Rattus norvegicus: one gene and its partners. The protein of the gene in region 1 interacts with the protein of each later gene in a biochemical or structural test. Links are inferred from orthologs where the notes say so. Each region holds a gene or a part of one and is shown in the gene's direction. Other genes may lie near its edges.

Region 1 (4,640 bases):
TGATGTGTGTGTGTGGTGCTTTGGTACACAAGTGCACATGTATGTGTGTGCATATGGAGTTCAAAGGTTGATCTAGCAGGATGTCTTGCTGAACAGCTTCCTATTCTATTTTTTGAAGCAGCCTGGCCAGCAGCTGAGATGACAGGCCCCCTCCACTGTGCCTGGGTTTTTATGTAGGTGCTTGGGTATAGAGCTCAGACCCTCATGCTTGAGTGACAAGCTCTTTACGAACTCAGTCGTCTTTCCAGCCTCACAAAGATGTGAGCTTTAACAAGAGCTTTAAAACCTCAAGCCTGTGTCTTCGGGATTTAAAACTTGAGTAGCTCGGAACTAACCCCTGTCAGAAGCATGCACTGCGGGGATGACTCACAAAGGAAACAAGAAAACAGTTCCAGGCCCTTGTCACACATGTCACTTCATGTTGTTATCACCACAACCCCACATGAGAAGACCCACAGTTGTCCCTGTTTTACACAAGAGGAAATGTCCTCGGAGTTGTTCAGCCAGTAAGCAATCAGATGCCAAGGTTCTGATCCCTGTTGCAGGGCACAGAACCCAGAGCTCTCTTCTGTTCAGCTCTGGCTTCCTCAGAGTGCCCATCCCATCCCTTTTGCGAAGGCTCTGTGGAGACTCTTCACTCTCCTGATGACAGGAGCTCAGTGACAGTCCCCAGTGTCCCTTCTGCTCGCTCTCAGAGGCCAAATTCAATGGCTCCTTTTCAGCAAACTTTCCTGCCCAAAGTGCATCTGCCCAAAGTGGCTTCTCTCAGTCCTTAGCATATCTGAGTTGCTCTCTCCTGGTTCCCCTGCTTGCTCTAAGACAGTGTTGATGGAAGTTTAATCATTGGCAGTAGGAGGAAAACCTGTGCCTAGAAGGATTATCCTTATGGATTTAAAGGGTGCCGTGAACAAAGCCATGCGGTGCATGCCAGCTGCATGGGAAGTGGCTGGTGGTCATTCTTGTTATTATCCACCATGTCTTCCTCAGTGTGCCAATTTGAAAGGTTTCTTTTCAAGTTCTCTCCCCAGAGCCCAACAACACCTGACTCCCTCTGGTTCTCAGCTAGACGGGTGCTGGCCTCTCAAAACCATGATATCTCAAAACGGAAATCACCATCTTTCTGAATTTTCCCACATCCTGGCCCTGCTGTTGAGAGAACCATATTCTCTGTCAATCAAAGCAGAGACCTCAGCACCCACGGTTTCACTCACAATTCTGCCCCACCACACCTTCCAGTCTACCACTTTGTACCAGCTGTCTTAGTAAACGTGGGGGCAGAGAACATGGCTCTCACCGTAGGTGGATCCAGCTCCACATCCCGCACTGTGATTGCTAGCAGTTTGACCTTGGGGAGTTGATTTCCTGGCCTTAGTTTCCACATCTATGAAATGGGAGATAATATTTGCATTAGTTCCTTTTTCTTTTTTTTCCGGAGCTGGGGACTGAACCCAGGGCCTTGGGCTTGCTAGGCAAGCGCTCTACTACTGAGCTAAATCCCCAACCCCAGTTCCTTTTTCTGATACCATGTTAAATCCCTGGTGGAAGCAGTTTAAGGGAGGAAAGGTCTGTTTCGACCCACAGTTCCTGAGGATATTGGCTCACCTTGATGTGGAAGACACGGCAGCAGCAGTGTGAGGTAGCTGGTCACATCATGGTGGGCTGGAGGCAGAGTGTGGAGACCTAAGCAGAAGTGTATCTCACTTTCAAGGCCTGCCCTCAATCCCCCAGTGACCCACTTCCACTCGCTAAGCCACAATCCCAAAGTTTCTGTAACCTCTAAAGTTAGTACCTGCAGCTGGAGACCAGTTCCTCAAACATAGAACTCCACATTCAATAAAGTCACAGTAATGATATACTCCCTAAGGCCATTGAGAGATAATGTGGGTGAAGTCTTGTGCCGGGGGCCCAGCTGTGGCAAACACACAATACAGATCACCCACCATTATTATGACTGATACTGTAATAGAATTAGATTGATGTTGCCTCCTGCATAACTTACTTTCCTCATCGTCGCGATCAAATATCTGATAAGCAGCAGGAGTGTGCGGTGGCTGGTCACAGCCCATCAGTGGCTAGGACGCAGTGAGCACACAGGAAGTATGGCCGGAGTATGATACCTCATAGCTTGCATCTAATAACTCACTTCCTCCAGCAAAGCTCCGCCTCTTAAGCCTGTCACAACTTTCCAAAACAATGTTATCAGCTGAGGAGCAAGTGTCTGAACCCTCACACATATGGGAGACACTGAACATTCAAACGGCAACGCCTCCTGTAAACACTAGAATCCTGAGGGTGTCTGTGCACATGGGCTATGCTGGGAACGCAACAAGAGCAAGAACTCTGATATAGTAGTTCATCTCTCTCCTTGGGCAGGAGTTTAGCGTGTGCATGCGAATTTCCTTCCACACCAGGTCTTCCTATTTGGAGAGAGAGAGAGTGATTTTACCTTCTGGAACCTTGTAATTAAGGGCCAATGATTAATCCAGCTATCTGGGACTTTGTGGTGACACTGAGAGCTTATGTTTGGGTTCTTCCTCCATTGGCTGATTTTGAAAACTATATTCTGTTGAGCTAGAAGCAACTATAGTTCCTGATCAAGAGCAGCAGGATGGCACTTTAAGGGATCTGCTGCTATAAATGTTGAGCTCTCCAGGTGATGTATGAATGTCATTATTTGACATCTGACACCCATTAAAGATGGGAAGTACCTTAATCTCATGTCTTTCAACAGATGGCCTTGTCTGACTCATTGGGGGTGGGTGACTCGGTGGGGACATGCCACATGCTGCTAGCCCCACCTCCTCATGCCTTTGGTGTACCTTTCCTGACTTCCCAAAAGGAAACCAGGAGTGACCTGAGAGATTCAGCACCCAAAAGCTGGGAGCCCAAGGTCGTGTAGCAAAGGTCATGAGAATTTTGCATTTTACATTGCTCTCATTTCGGATCATTGAAACAGCCTCTCTGCGTTTCCGGAAGGGAAGGGATTGGAGAAAAACCACACCCGGTTCCGTTCAGTTCTGTTTTATTTTGGCTTTTATTTTTGTTTTGTTTTTTTTCCACCCACCACAAGTTCTTTTCTCCCCCTCTCATAGTGTGGGCGAAACGCTGAAAACTTCGACCGGTTTTTCACCCGCCATCCACCAGTCCTAACACCTCCTGACCAGGAAGTCATCAGGAATATTGACCAATCAGAATTCGAAGGATTTTCCTTTGTTAACTCTGAATTTTTAAAACCCGAAGTCAAGAGCTAAGTAGATCTGTAGACCTCCGTCCTTCATTTCTGTCATTCAAGCTCAACAGCTATCATGGTGACATTTTTTTTCTTTTCCATTGCCAAGTTACATCCGTGTTTTCTTTTCTGATGAGGCTAGAGTGGCCATGTTTCAGAACCCAAATGTCCTCAAGTAGTTTGGAGCATCTCGAGGAGATGGAATTATGCAGGTGGCATGTAGAAAGTGCTGCATAATCGAGACACGCTCAGAGCCCTACTATGTGCATCCCTAGCATGTCGGCTCACAGGCCCCCAGGGGAGAGAAAATGCTTGCTTTTCTCCCTGGTCCTCTGCACTGCCATTTTTACCCTGACCCCCAGTCTACATCCTTCCTACAAAATGGATAGACGAGCCAAATGCTAGCAACATTCTTCCACCTTCCCGGCTGGGAGCTTGGCTTGAATCCAAGTATATGGCTGCTTTGCCCTAGAGGGAATCCCTCCACGCTGCCTGTTCTGGAGGCAGTGGAGCTTTGAAAAGAACATGCTAAAAATAAAAATTTATTTTTATTTTTTTAACTCAATGTTAAGAAGATTATCTAAGTCCTGGGGAAAAAAGGAATGCGCTTTTAGACAAGTTTCCATCTAAAAGCACTTCCAGGGTCGAAGGCAACCAGCTTGTGTGCTGTCACCTTGCTGTAGTTTCTAATACTGTGTGTCTGATAGTGGTACCCTCATCCCCCAAACTACTCCAGAATGACATTTGGCACTGTTCTTAGAACCACATGGTCACTCTAGCAAGGTCCTAAAGGACCCTGATTCTACATTACATTTCAAATGTTACTTGCTTTTTTTTTTAATTTCTGTCATCATTGAAATGCAAAAAGAAAAAAAAGAAAGAAAAAGAAAAAAATTACTCACTTTGTTACACATGCTTTAAAATCTGTGTCCAGATGTTATTAACCATAATGCCCTGCTTTGTTCAACCAAGAAGACGGCTATGGAACCCAGCAGAGTTCTGCCTGTGGGGTGGGGACTTGTCTAGATATACCACTGGTGTTGGAGAAGTAATTGTGTGCTCTGAGAAAGACACCATCTCTCCAAACCATGATGGGTGCATTCTTCAGTTTGATGTCATTTTGCAAGATGTTTGTGGGAATGTTTATTTGCACTTCGGTATCTGTTCTGATAATTTTCTCCTAGCATCAAGATACAATATAAAAAAAGAAAGAAAGAAAGAGAGAGAAAGAGAAAGAAAGAAAGAAAGAAGGAGAAAAAAGAAAGAAAAAGAGAAAGAGAAAGAAAGGAAGGAAAGAAGGAAGGAAGGAAAGAAGAAAACCTATTTCAAAGAAAAACGTTCCCTTTGAACAAGGAGGACCCACACTTCAGAGTAGGCTCTAAAGAAGGAATCCAAGAGAAAAGGGTTAAAG
Region 2 (4,122 bases), on another chromosome or scaffold:
TGTCTGGGATTTTGTTTTTAAACTTTGTGTGCCTGCTACCTTGTGACTGGACTGGCATGGGGCTCAGAGGAGTTGGAGGGATTGTTTGTTTGTGGGTTTCTGTGTAGGTAGACCTGCATGAGATCATGTGCTTCCAGACTGCTGGGGTTAAAAGGCCTTCTTTTCCCCCTTTAATCCCATATTAGGTTGAGCTGTGGAAACCCAAACCACGGCATCAGTTGGGCAGGGTCTTGGCACATGAGCAGATACCCAGATGTCTCTCATAACTGCCCTAAGGTTTAAATGATCTTAAGTCTCTCACCTATCTCCTAGAGATGTGTTTGAGGGGTTACAAGCCAGGCCCAACAGTGATGACCACAACATGCCATCTGAGTTGCTTTGCTGAAATCCAGAGGCTGTTTCTGAGCTGTGCCTGGTCCTGTGCTCCATGAGTAATGAGTGGGTGAGCTCTGGGGTCACCTTAGGACTCAAATGTCAGCAGGCTTGACAGGTGGCTTTGCCCCTGGTCTGTTGGCCTAAAGATTGTGCTTCTGAGAAGGGAGTGCAGGAGTGCCGTTGCCCCTCTTAGGGAAGTGTAGTAGAGATCTGTAATCTGGGAAAAGCTGCCGCCTCTTTTTTTTTTTTAAAGATCCATTCATTTATTATATATAAGTACACTGTAGCTGTCCTCAGACACACCAGAAGAGGGCATCGGATCTCTTTACAGATAAGCTGCCGCCTCTTAACCTTCCCCTGCATCTTTGTAGGATGAGAGTCATTCAGAATGGGTGTCTTGTGTCCGCTTCTCCCCGAACAGCAGCAACCCTATCATCGTCTCCTGCGGATGGGACAAGCTGGTCAAGGTATGCTTGCAAGGGAAATACGTTGCCATTCCTCTCGGGGAATAATGCGTTCTGACTTGGGATATTCTGAAGATTAGTTTGGCTGTGGCTTTTGGTGGTTGATCTCAATACTTTAGGGATGTGGTTTGTTTTTGAGGCCTGGTTTCATTCTGTATCCCTTACTGGCCTGCCATCCAAACAATCTCAGTCATTGAAGTATTGGGACTGTATAGGCCTGCACAGCATGCCTGTTGAGTGATCCCTGTACCCTTCTTGTTGAGTGTAGACCTTTGTCCTGGTCACCCACGGAGTCCTGTTTTGTAGGTGTGGAATCTGGCTAACTGCAAGCTAAAGACCAACCACATTGGCCACACTGGCTATCTGAACACAGTGACTGTCTCTCCAGATGGATCCCTCTGTGCTTCTGGAGGCAAGGTATTTGGGGCTTGTCCTCTCCTTTCCAGAGGCTTTTCTCTGGTAGCATGCACTAAAGTGGGAAAGTTTCTAAGTACTACCTTGAAATATGTAGAAAAGTATATTAAAGATGATTGCTTTTTAAGTTGGGGTTTTGGCACAGAAAGGTATCGTGCATTAGAAGAAAGGACTTAGAGCCATGAACACTATACCTAACTCAACCTTTTCTATCTGCCCAGGATGGCCAGGCTATGCTGTGGGATCTCAATGAAGGCAAGCACCTTTACACATTAGATGGTGGAGACATCATCAATGCCTTGTGCTTCAGCCCCAACCGCTACTGGCTCTGTGCTGCCACTGGCCCCAGTATCAAGATCTGGGTAAGTGGTCTGTTGCGCATAGTCATTGACTTGACTAGTAGAAATCAACCTTTCTCAGATACCATCTTTAGGTTGCTATCAGCACCCCCCTTAACAGTTTGCAACAATGGCTGACATCTGCCTAATGAAAAGTAATGCCCATGTATAGCAGCAGTTTATTGAGTGTTCTAATTGCCATTTGGGCCAAGGTAATTCTCTTGTGAGAGGCTTTTTTGACAGTGCAGGTGGCATCTAGCCACCAGATAATTAGGAGTTAAGCAGCTGCCATAAATCATGAAGGCAACAAGTGTAGAGCATTGTATGCAGTAGAGCATCCAAATTCAATTCCTCGCAACATTTTAGAAAAGTCCTTCCTGTGCTGCTAAGTATCCACTTGGATTCAATTCTGTAATCTTTGTCACAGGATTTCTAAACTAAAAGACAAGTTCATACTGTGTAGACTGGCCTCAGGGAGATCACAGATAATAGCCTGCCTCTTAATCTCCTGAGGGTAGAATTAAGAGTATGCACTACTATATTGAACTGTTGGTAGTGTGTATAAATAGCATTTAACTTTAACTGTTTTGAATCCCTTTTGATTTTGCGCCTTACACATTGGTAGCCTTTCCAAGGTAAAAGTGGCACCCTTTTTAGTTGGTAAAGCACATTTTTGTTGGTGGATGGGTGGTGCACACCTATTTAAAGAGAAGTCATTTGCAGTAAGTTGGCAATCTTGCCTCAATCTCCCAGGTAGCTCAGATTATAAGCCTGAGTCATCAGGACCTGATGATTGATTTTTGCTAGTGGAGTATAGGGCCAATACTCAATATATCCTTGAAAGAAAAATAACCCTTTTAGACAGAAATCTGAGTTGTAAACTTTAAAAAAAAAAGTTCGTTGTCTGGTTATATACATGTGAGTCCCAGCTAGCCTGCCCATAGGCAAATTTTTCTCAGTTGTTTCTGGGTGAAACTTAAGTTGCCAAGCAAGGAGCTTTCCCATGGAATGCCATCTTGCTAGTTCTATTGAAACGATTCTAAGAGTTGTTATTTGAGTAGTGGGTGTCCTTATGGGTTTTGGTCTGTTCCTCAGGACTTGGAGGGCAAGATCATTGTAGATGAACTGAAGCAAGAGGTTATCAGCACCAGCAGCAAGGCAGAGCCACCCCAGTGTACCTCTTTGGCTTGGTCTGCTGATGGCCAGGTAAGTGTATTTGGCCCTTCAGCTCAGTTCCCCAGCTTGTCTCCCTTTTTCTTAAGTTTAGGCACAAAACTAAGGTCAACATAAAATGAAATCAAATCAGGTTAATTTAGGATGGGAAAAGATTATGGTAATGGAGTTTTTAAACCTGGAAGCTTAAAAATGTCTGAATGTGTAGCAAGCTGCTTTTAACATGAAAGAGGGGCCCTAAATTCTTTGGACTACAGAGTTCATTGCTGGGTGCGACATGACCCTGTTGTTGTTTTCTTACAGACTCTGTTTGCTGGCTATACCGACAACTTGGTGCGTGTATGGCAGGTGACTATTGGTACCCGCTAAAAGTTTATGACAGACTCTTAGAAATAAACTGGCTTTCTGAAATTGGCCTCTATATGTGAGTCCTGGGAGCTGAGCCCTGTTTTACAAGAGCACCCCATGCTCTGAACCACTGAAACATCTTTTGAGATTGGGTCTTGAAAGAAATGAGTAAACACATCAGCTGTCCATATCACTAATAGGTAAAAATCAACTTGGTCTTCTGTAATTCTGGAAGTTTTTATTTTTTTTTTTACTAATTCTAGTGGGTAGGCCTCATCACCTCATATTCATATGCAAACATAGCAATTCAGAGCAGACCTGGAACCTCAATCCCAGGCTGCTGATAACCAGAAACCTGATCCTGAATGGAGCAAGTGTGAAAACCTGAGCTGGTTCTGCATGTTGCAAGGCAAAATGCACTTAGAGACAGTTCTATCAGAAAACATAGAGTCCACAAAAGAAGCAAATAAACACTTTTTTTATTTTTTGCAATACAACCCACTTTCCCTCCCCAAGAACATGGACTGACCTCAGCCACCAAAGCAGAGGACAAAAGCTGTTGCTGTGTCAGAAGGCAAGGGGTTACTAGAAAAATAGATTATACCCAACAGTCTCCCAAGGATCCAGACCCCTGTCCCGAGCTCCCCTAACAGGGCTAACCACATGTAACTAAAAGGCATGGAGAGGCCAGAAACCTCACTGAAAAGGGAAGAGAGCCTGGCAGTGAAGACTTGGGCTCCTACCTAACGAAAAAAACTAAGATGCACAGAGAAAATAATTTATTGGGTAATGGTAGAGATGTCATGCTGACCATTCCAGATCTCACTGAAGCTAAATTCTGGCCAGTCTATGGAGGTAGAAATTGGGGGTGGAAGGAAAGCTTAAGAATTCCTACTTCCCCAAGAAAAGTAGACTTTACACAGCACTACCCTTTTGCCCAGTCTGACTTCCCACAGAGCCTCTAAAACTTAGCTGGTCTGCACCAAAACATGGGAGTGTTTTGCCCAAAC
Region 3 (4,640 bases), on another chromosome or scaffold:
AATAAAACCAGCTCACTGCTCTGGTAGAGTCAGTGTTTTCTACTCCTTCACCATATACATTGCCATAAATTGGGAGGAGGAGTCTCTCAGCTATGTTCTGTAGTAAGTCATGAAGAAGTTAGGGTTTGCAGGATCTTGGTTCTTGAAGGAACAGAAAGACTCACATCAGGATTACTGGGGATAAGAGTTGTCAACTTGGAAATATGGTACTAAACTCAGTGTTATATTCAGTTTATAGAATAGTCTCCAAGTGTGGACCAAGTGAAACCTTCCAGCTGACAAAAGTCCTTTCTATACCTTTCAGGTACTGGATTACAAAATTTCCTGCAGAGTTTAATTTGGATCTTGGTTTGATTCGCATGACTGAGGAGTTCCGGGAAGTAGCTAGTCAACTAGGATATGAGAAACACAGCAACCTCATGGACATATCCAGCATGTAAGAGTGGCACTAGTCTTTTGATCTCTGTGGGTTCACTGCTTTGGGGAAAGGGTAGTAATGACCCTGCTTGACTGGAATCACTACTGTTCTAGAAGGAAGCTCCTTCTTTGGAGATAGCCTGACTACAATGAACACAGCTATACCAGATACACTCTATCTCTCCAAGCTGTAGTTTGTTTGGAAAATGGCATGGCATCTTTGTGGGATCGTTATATGTTTTAAAAGTACACAAGAGAACCCAAGAAAATTTGGCACACAGTAGATACTGAATACTTACTTCTTAACTCTGAATTTAGTCAATTTCTCCTATGCCTTAGCTACTCAGATCACCACACTGGTTTCTCCTAGGACTCCATCAGAAAATAGTCTTGGGTCTTGCCTAAGCCCTTGGATTGGGATTTATGCCTTAACAAGATCTCCTTGTGATTCATACTTGCCTTTAGGTCTGAGGCGCTCACTACCTTAGTGCTTCAGAGGCTCACCTGAAGTTCCACAAATGTTGACCATAGTTGTATCCCTGACTGGTTATTTCATTAGGGACTTAATACTAATTAGACTCATTTAATACAGACCAGCTAACTCTGCCAGGGAAAGTGTTTTGACCCTAAGTGTGATTGTCCATATTCCAATTATATATTCTATCGCAGGCTGGTCTGAAATTCAATATGTAACCTAAATTGTCATTGAATTTTTGATGATTTTTTCCTGTCTTGGCTTCCTGAGTGTTAGGATTACAGATCTATGTCAAATAAACATATTTTCTGTCTTAGGTATTCTCTTTGCCTGGAATGTTTCTTCAAATCTGATAATAAATGACCCAGGATTCACCAGGGATGCTTGTTTACAATGCCTGTCATTCAGGTTCATTTCTAGTAAATCAAAGTCTCTGGAAGTGAGATATAGGCCTTTGTCTTTATAATGAGTTTTCCAGATAATCCATATGATGTTCAGGTGTGAAAAACGAAATCCTGGCTGTTTCCAAGAGCTTTGAATCACCATCTATATGCCAACAAACTTCTGATTTTATAGGCCTAACCCTGATCTTTTCTTTAGAGTTCGGATCTTGCTTGGTCACAAGAAGTATCAAGTGAGAGATTTAGGATGGATCAGGGCAAACCTATCGTGCCTAGACAAAACAACTTCAAGTCTCTTGGCAAAGGGTGGATGGTTTTCTCTTCAAATATGGAGGACAGGGCCTGTATTTCACACATGCTTCTGGCAGTAGGCCAAGAGTTAGTCAGTAGGTTAATATCTTCCACTGAGTGAAATGCATTTTCGGCACGCTGACCAGACTTGTTCTTCTTTCACAGTCCTTCCTATGACTGGATGAGGAGAGTCACGCAGAGGAAAAAAGTATCAAAAAGGGGAAAGGCCTGTCTCTTATTTGACCATCTGGAGCCCATTGAATTGGCTGAGCACCTCACTTTTCTGGAGCATAAATCTTTTAGAAGGATCTCGGTAAGGAACTTGACGGTTATTCTTCCAAGGGTAACAAGCAACGTGCCAACTTTCCCAAGAGCTATGTGTTCATACTCCCAAGGGTTGGCAGCCTCTGCCAGTGGACTCTGTTGGAAATGTGCCCTCAATTCACAAGAACAATCCTTTTTAACCAAATATAAATATTATCCTGTCTTTAGTTTATGGCTCAGGAGCTATATTTCTGCCGCTATGTTCAATGTCTCCTTTCATAGAATTAAAGCATGATTTTTCTAAATATTCAGCAGAGACTTAACCATTCAACGTTTATTTAGTTTGAATGAACTCCTCCAAGTGAACAGTTTTGCTGGACCTTTTATTTATGGCGGTGAGGGTTGGGAGTGAGTTAACTTACTTTAGTATCTATACAATGCCTAACTATGAAAATAGGTGGAGAATTAAGAGTTGTAGGCTTTGAGGAGGTCTCAACATTAGACGGTCTCTTTCTCAGAGATGGAAGTCCTGACTTAGACTTTCCGCCCTATGCATCTTTTCTCTTCTCCTTTTCCCTTCTGTTCTCCTTCCTTCCTCAGCTACAGTCTTAGCAAGCCACCCTTGTCACGATCTACTGCTTTATATTACTTCCATCAAGCAGTTACTTTGATGTATCTCACGCACTCAGGTGAAATCAACCCTTCCCAAGGACCCTGACGTAAATCACACCAAGAAGCAAGATGACTGTTGGCTAGAACATGGATTTATTTCCTTCTATTTTTTAAAGCAATTTTTTCTTTTCTCCCCTTTCCCCTTGAAATACTAGAAGCTTATTGTTTTTTTTTTGAGAGTATTATATTCCATCCATTTCCTGTTCTTTAATGTGTGCCATTGTGTCTTAAATGTGCTTGTTCTTTGGCGTCACTGGTATAACTGAAAATGGCAATCCTAGTTCTTTTGTAGAAATACTGGACCTGTCTGATTCATTAATTTTCCTGGGATAATGGGCTACATAGATCTTAGGGTTCAGTAAGCTTGGAATTCTCTGGAATATAACTTTACATTTTTCCCCTTCTTCCGCCTCCTCTAAAGCACAGTGATTTGTGTGTTTGTATCTGAGTTTTGAAATGTAGTAAGATAGCCTGTTAGAGGCATATAGGATTGAACTTGAAAGAAACCTTTATAAATGCAAAATGGAAGAAATCGCCATGTTGTTATGAAAGGCTAGCTTACTACTTTTATCCAACTGGGTAAAGTTCAATATTGTGAAAAGTCCATTGTAGTTCAGAATCTCTCGTTGTTCTTTTCCCAGTTCACAGATTATCAGAGCTACGTCATTCATGGCTGCCTGGAGAATAACCCGACATTGGAGAGATCTATTGCCTTATTTAATGGAATCTCTAAGTGGGTCCAATTGATGGTTCTTAGCAAACCAAGTGCTCAACAAAGGGCGGAAGTCATCACAAAGTTCATCAATGTAGCACAGGTTTGCGCTCATCACAATCAGACCAGGGTTGGGAATTCTGTATATTTCATTAATTGTATTGAGAAAAGTTGTTGAGGAAATTGGTGTTAGCAATAGAACGGCACTGGACTATTAAACCATGCATGGCTATCTAATGAATAAACTACATTCCTCTCACATAGCAAGATTGTTTCTAAAAGACAATGCTTAGAAGCACTTGATTGTGTTAATGACTGGTATTGTATTTTTAGAGAATTCAACTTTCATTTAATCTTAAACCAATATATTGTTTTTCTCTATATTCTTGTTATTAAAATTGTGCTTGTGTTCCTGTAATTTGAGAAATTCAAAACAATTTTTCAAAATCCTTACCAAGTATTAGTGTTAATGGTTTTTGTTTGCTTGTTGTTTTTTTTTTTCCAGAAACTCCTTCAACTAAAAAATTTTAACACCTTGATGGCTGTGGTTGGTGGCCTTAGTCACAGCTCCATTTCCCGACTCAAAGATACCCATTCTCACCTCTCTTCTGAAGTTACAAAGGTATTGTGGATTTTTATCTGAATTCTAAGTAGGCATTATAGATTGCAGAGATGTGCTCTGATGCTGGCATACATTATGTAGGAGGGTAGAATTTTTATCTTAAACCAATGCAAAGTTATATATAGGGTACAAAATAGAAAGGGAATAGCCCCATCGGCCGAGCCTACCCATAAAACCGCATTGCTGCTGCTGGTGTTACCTAAGAATGTTCTGTCCGTGCTGGTGAGATGGCTCAGTAGGTGAGGATGCTCGCCGTCAATCTGGTGACTTGGGTTTGATCCCTGGAACCCATGTGTGGAAGAAAAGAACTTATTCCCAACAGTTATGCTCTGATTGGTGATTGTACGCTGAGCCATGCAATGCCCCACCCCAGTAAGTAAATAAATACAAGAAGAAGAAGAAGTTGTATCTAATCAAAGATGAATATATTATAAATGTCACCAAATATGTATGCAGTGCTCGCTACGCGATCAGCACTCCGATAAATGTGGAAGATACCGGATGAGTAAAATTAATACCCAGAGTTCTAAAATGGATTCACTGATGCCTACTCTAGTCACAACACTGTAGCACATGGGAGATGCAGAGGAAGGGGAAGCAGGAGGTCTTATACAGAAATATTCAGACTCATAACTGAGCTGCCACCAGCAAAAGCATGTGCCTTTAAAAGCCCATTCACTGCTATTAGTAATGTAGCAGATACCTCTACTCTATTAATTTGCAGACCAAATCTAATAAACGTTTAACTTACTGATCAGAAAGGAGTATTTCCCTTAGGCTAACACT

Evidence for each region. The genes of interacting proteins can lie anywhere in the genome.
Region 2: the proteins of Prkcb (region 1) and Rack1 form a complex in vitro, tested with the Homo sapiens proteins (2 studies listed by BioGRID). The link is inferred for Rattus norvegicus from reciprocal best matches to the Homo sapiens genes PRKCB and RACK1.
Region 3: of the proteins of Prkcb (region 1) and Rasgrp3, one has a biochemical effect on the other in vitro, tested with the Homo sapiens proteins (2 studies listed by BioGRID). The link is inferred for Rattus norvegicus from reciprocal best matches to the Homo sapiens genes PRKCB and RASGRP3.

The regions. Positions count from the first base shown.
Region 1 is NC_086019.1:186,584,842-186,589,481, forward strand, and holds the end of Prkcb (protein kinase C beta type), read left to right. Parts: intron 1-1,294; exon of another isoform or gene 1,295-1,381; intron 1,382-1,602; exon of another isoform or gene 1,603-1,726; intron 1,727-3,092; coding exon 3,093-3,251; 3' UTR 3,252-4,109; downstream 4,110-4,640. UniProt on the Homo sapiens protein: Calcium-activated, phospholipid- and diacylglycerol (DAG)-dependent serine/threonine-protein kinase involved in various cellular processes such as regulation of the B-cell receptor (BCR) signalosome, oxidative stress-induced apoptosis, androgen receptor-dependent transcription regulation, insulin signaling and endothelial cells proliferation.
Region 2 is NC_086028.1:33,672,777-33,676,898, forward strand, and holds the end of Rack1 (small ribosomal subunit protein RACK1), read left to right. Parts: intron 1-341; exon of another isoform or gene 342-409; intron 410-746; coding exon 747-842; intron 843-1,145; coding exon 1,146-1,256; intron 1,257-1,474; coding exon 1,475-1,615; intron 1,616-2,686; coding exon 2,687-2,797; coding exon of another isoform or gene 2,798-2,881; exon of another isoform or gene 2,882-3,067; coding exon 3,068-3,133; 3' UTR 3,134-3,255; downstream 3,256-4,122. UniProt on the Homo sapiens protein: Scaffolding protein involved in the recruitment, assembly and/or regulation of a variety of signaling molecules. Interacts with a wide variety of proteins and plays a role in many cellular processes.
Region 3 is NC_086024.1:25,675,725-25,680,364, reverse strand, and holds part of Rasgrp3 (ras guanyl-releasing protein 3), read left to right. Parts: intron 1-304; coding exon 305-436; intron 437-1,749; coding exon 1,750-1,897; intron 1,898-3,161; coding exon 3,162-3,335; intron 3,336-3,737; coding exon 3,738-3,854; intron 3,855-4,640. UniProt on the Homo sapiens protein: Guanine nucleotide exchange factor (GEF) for Ras and Rap1.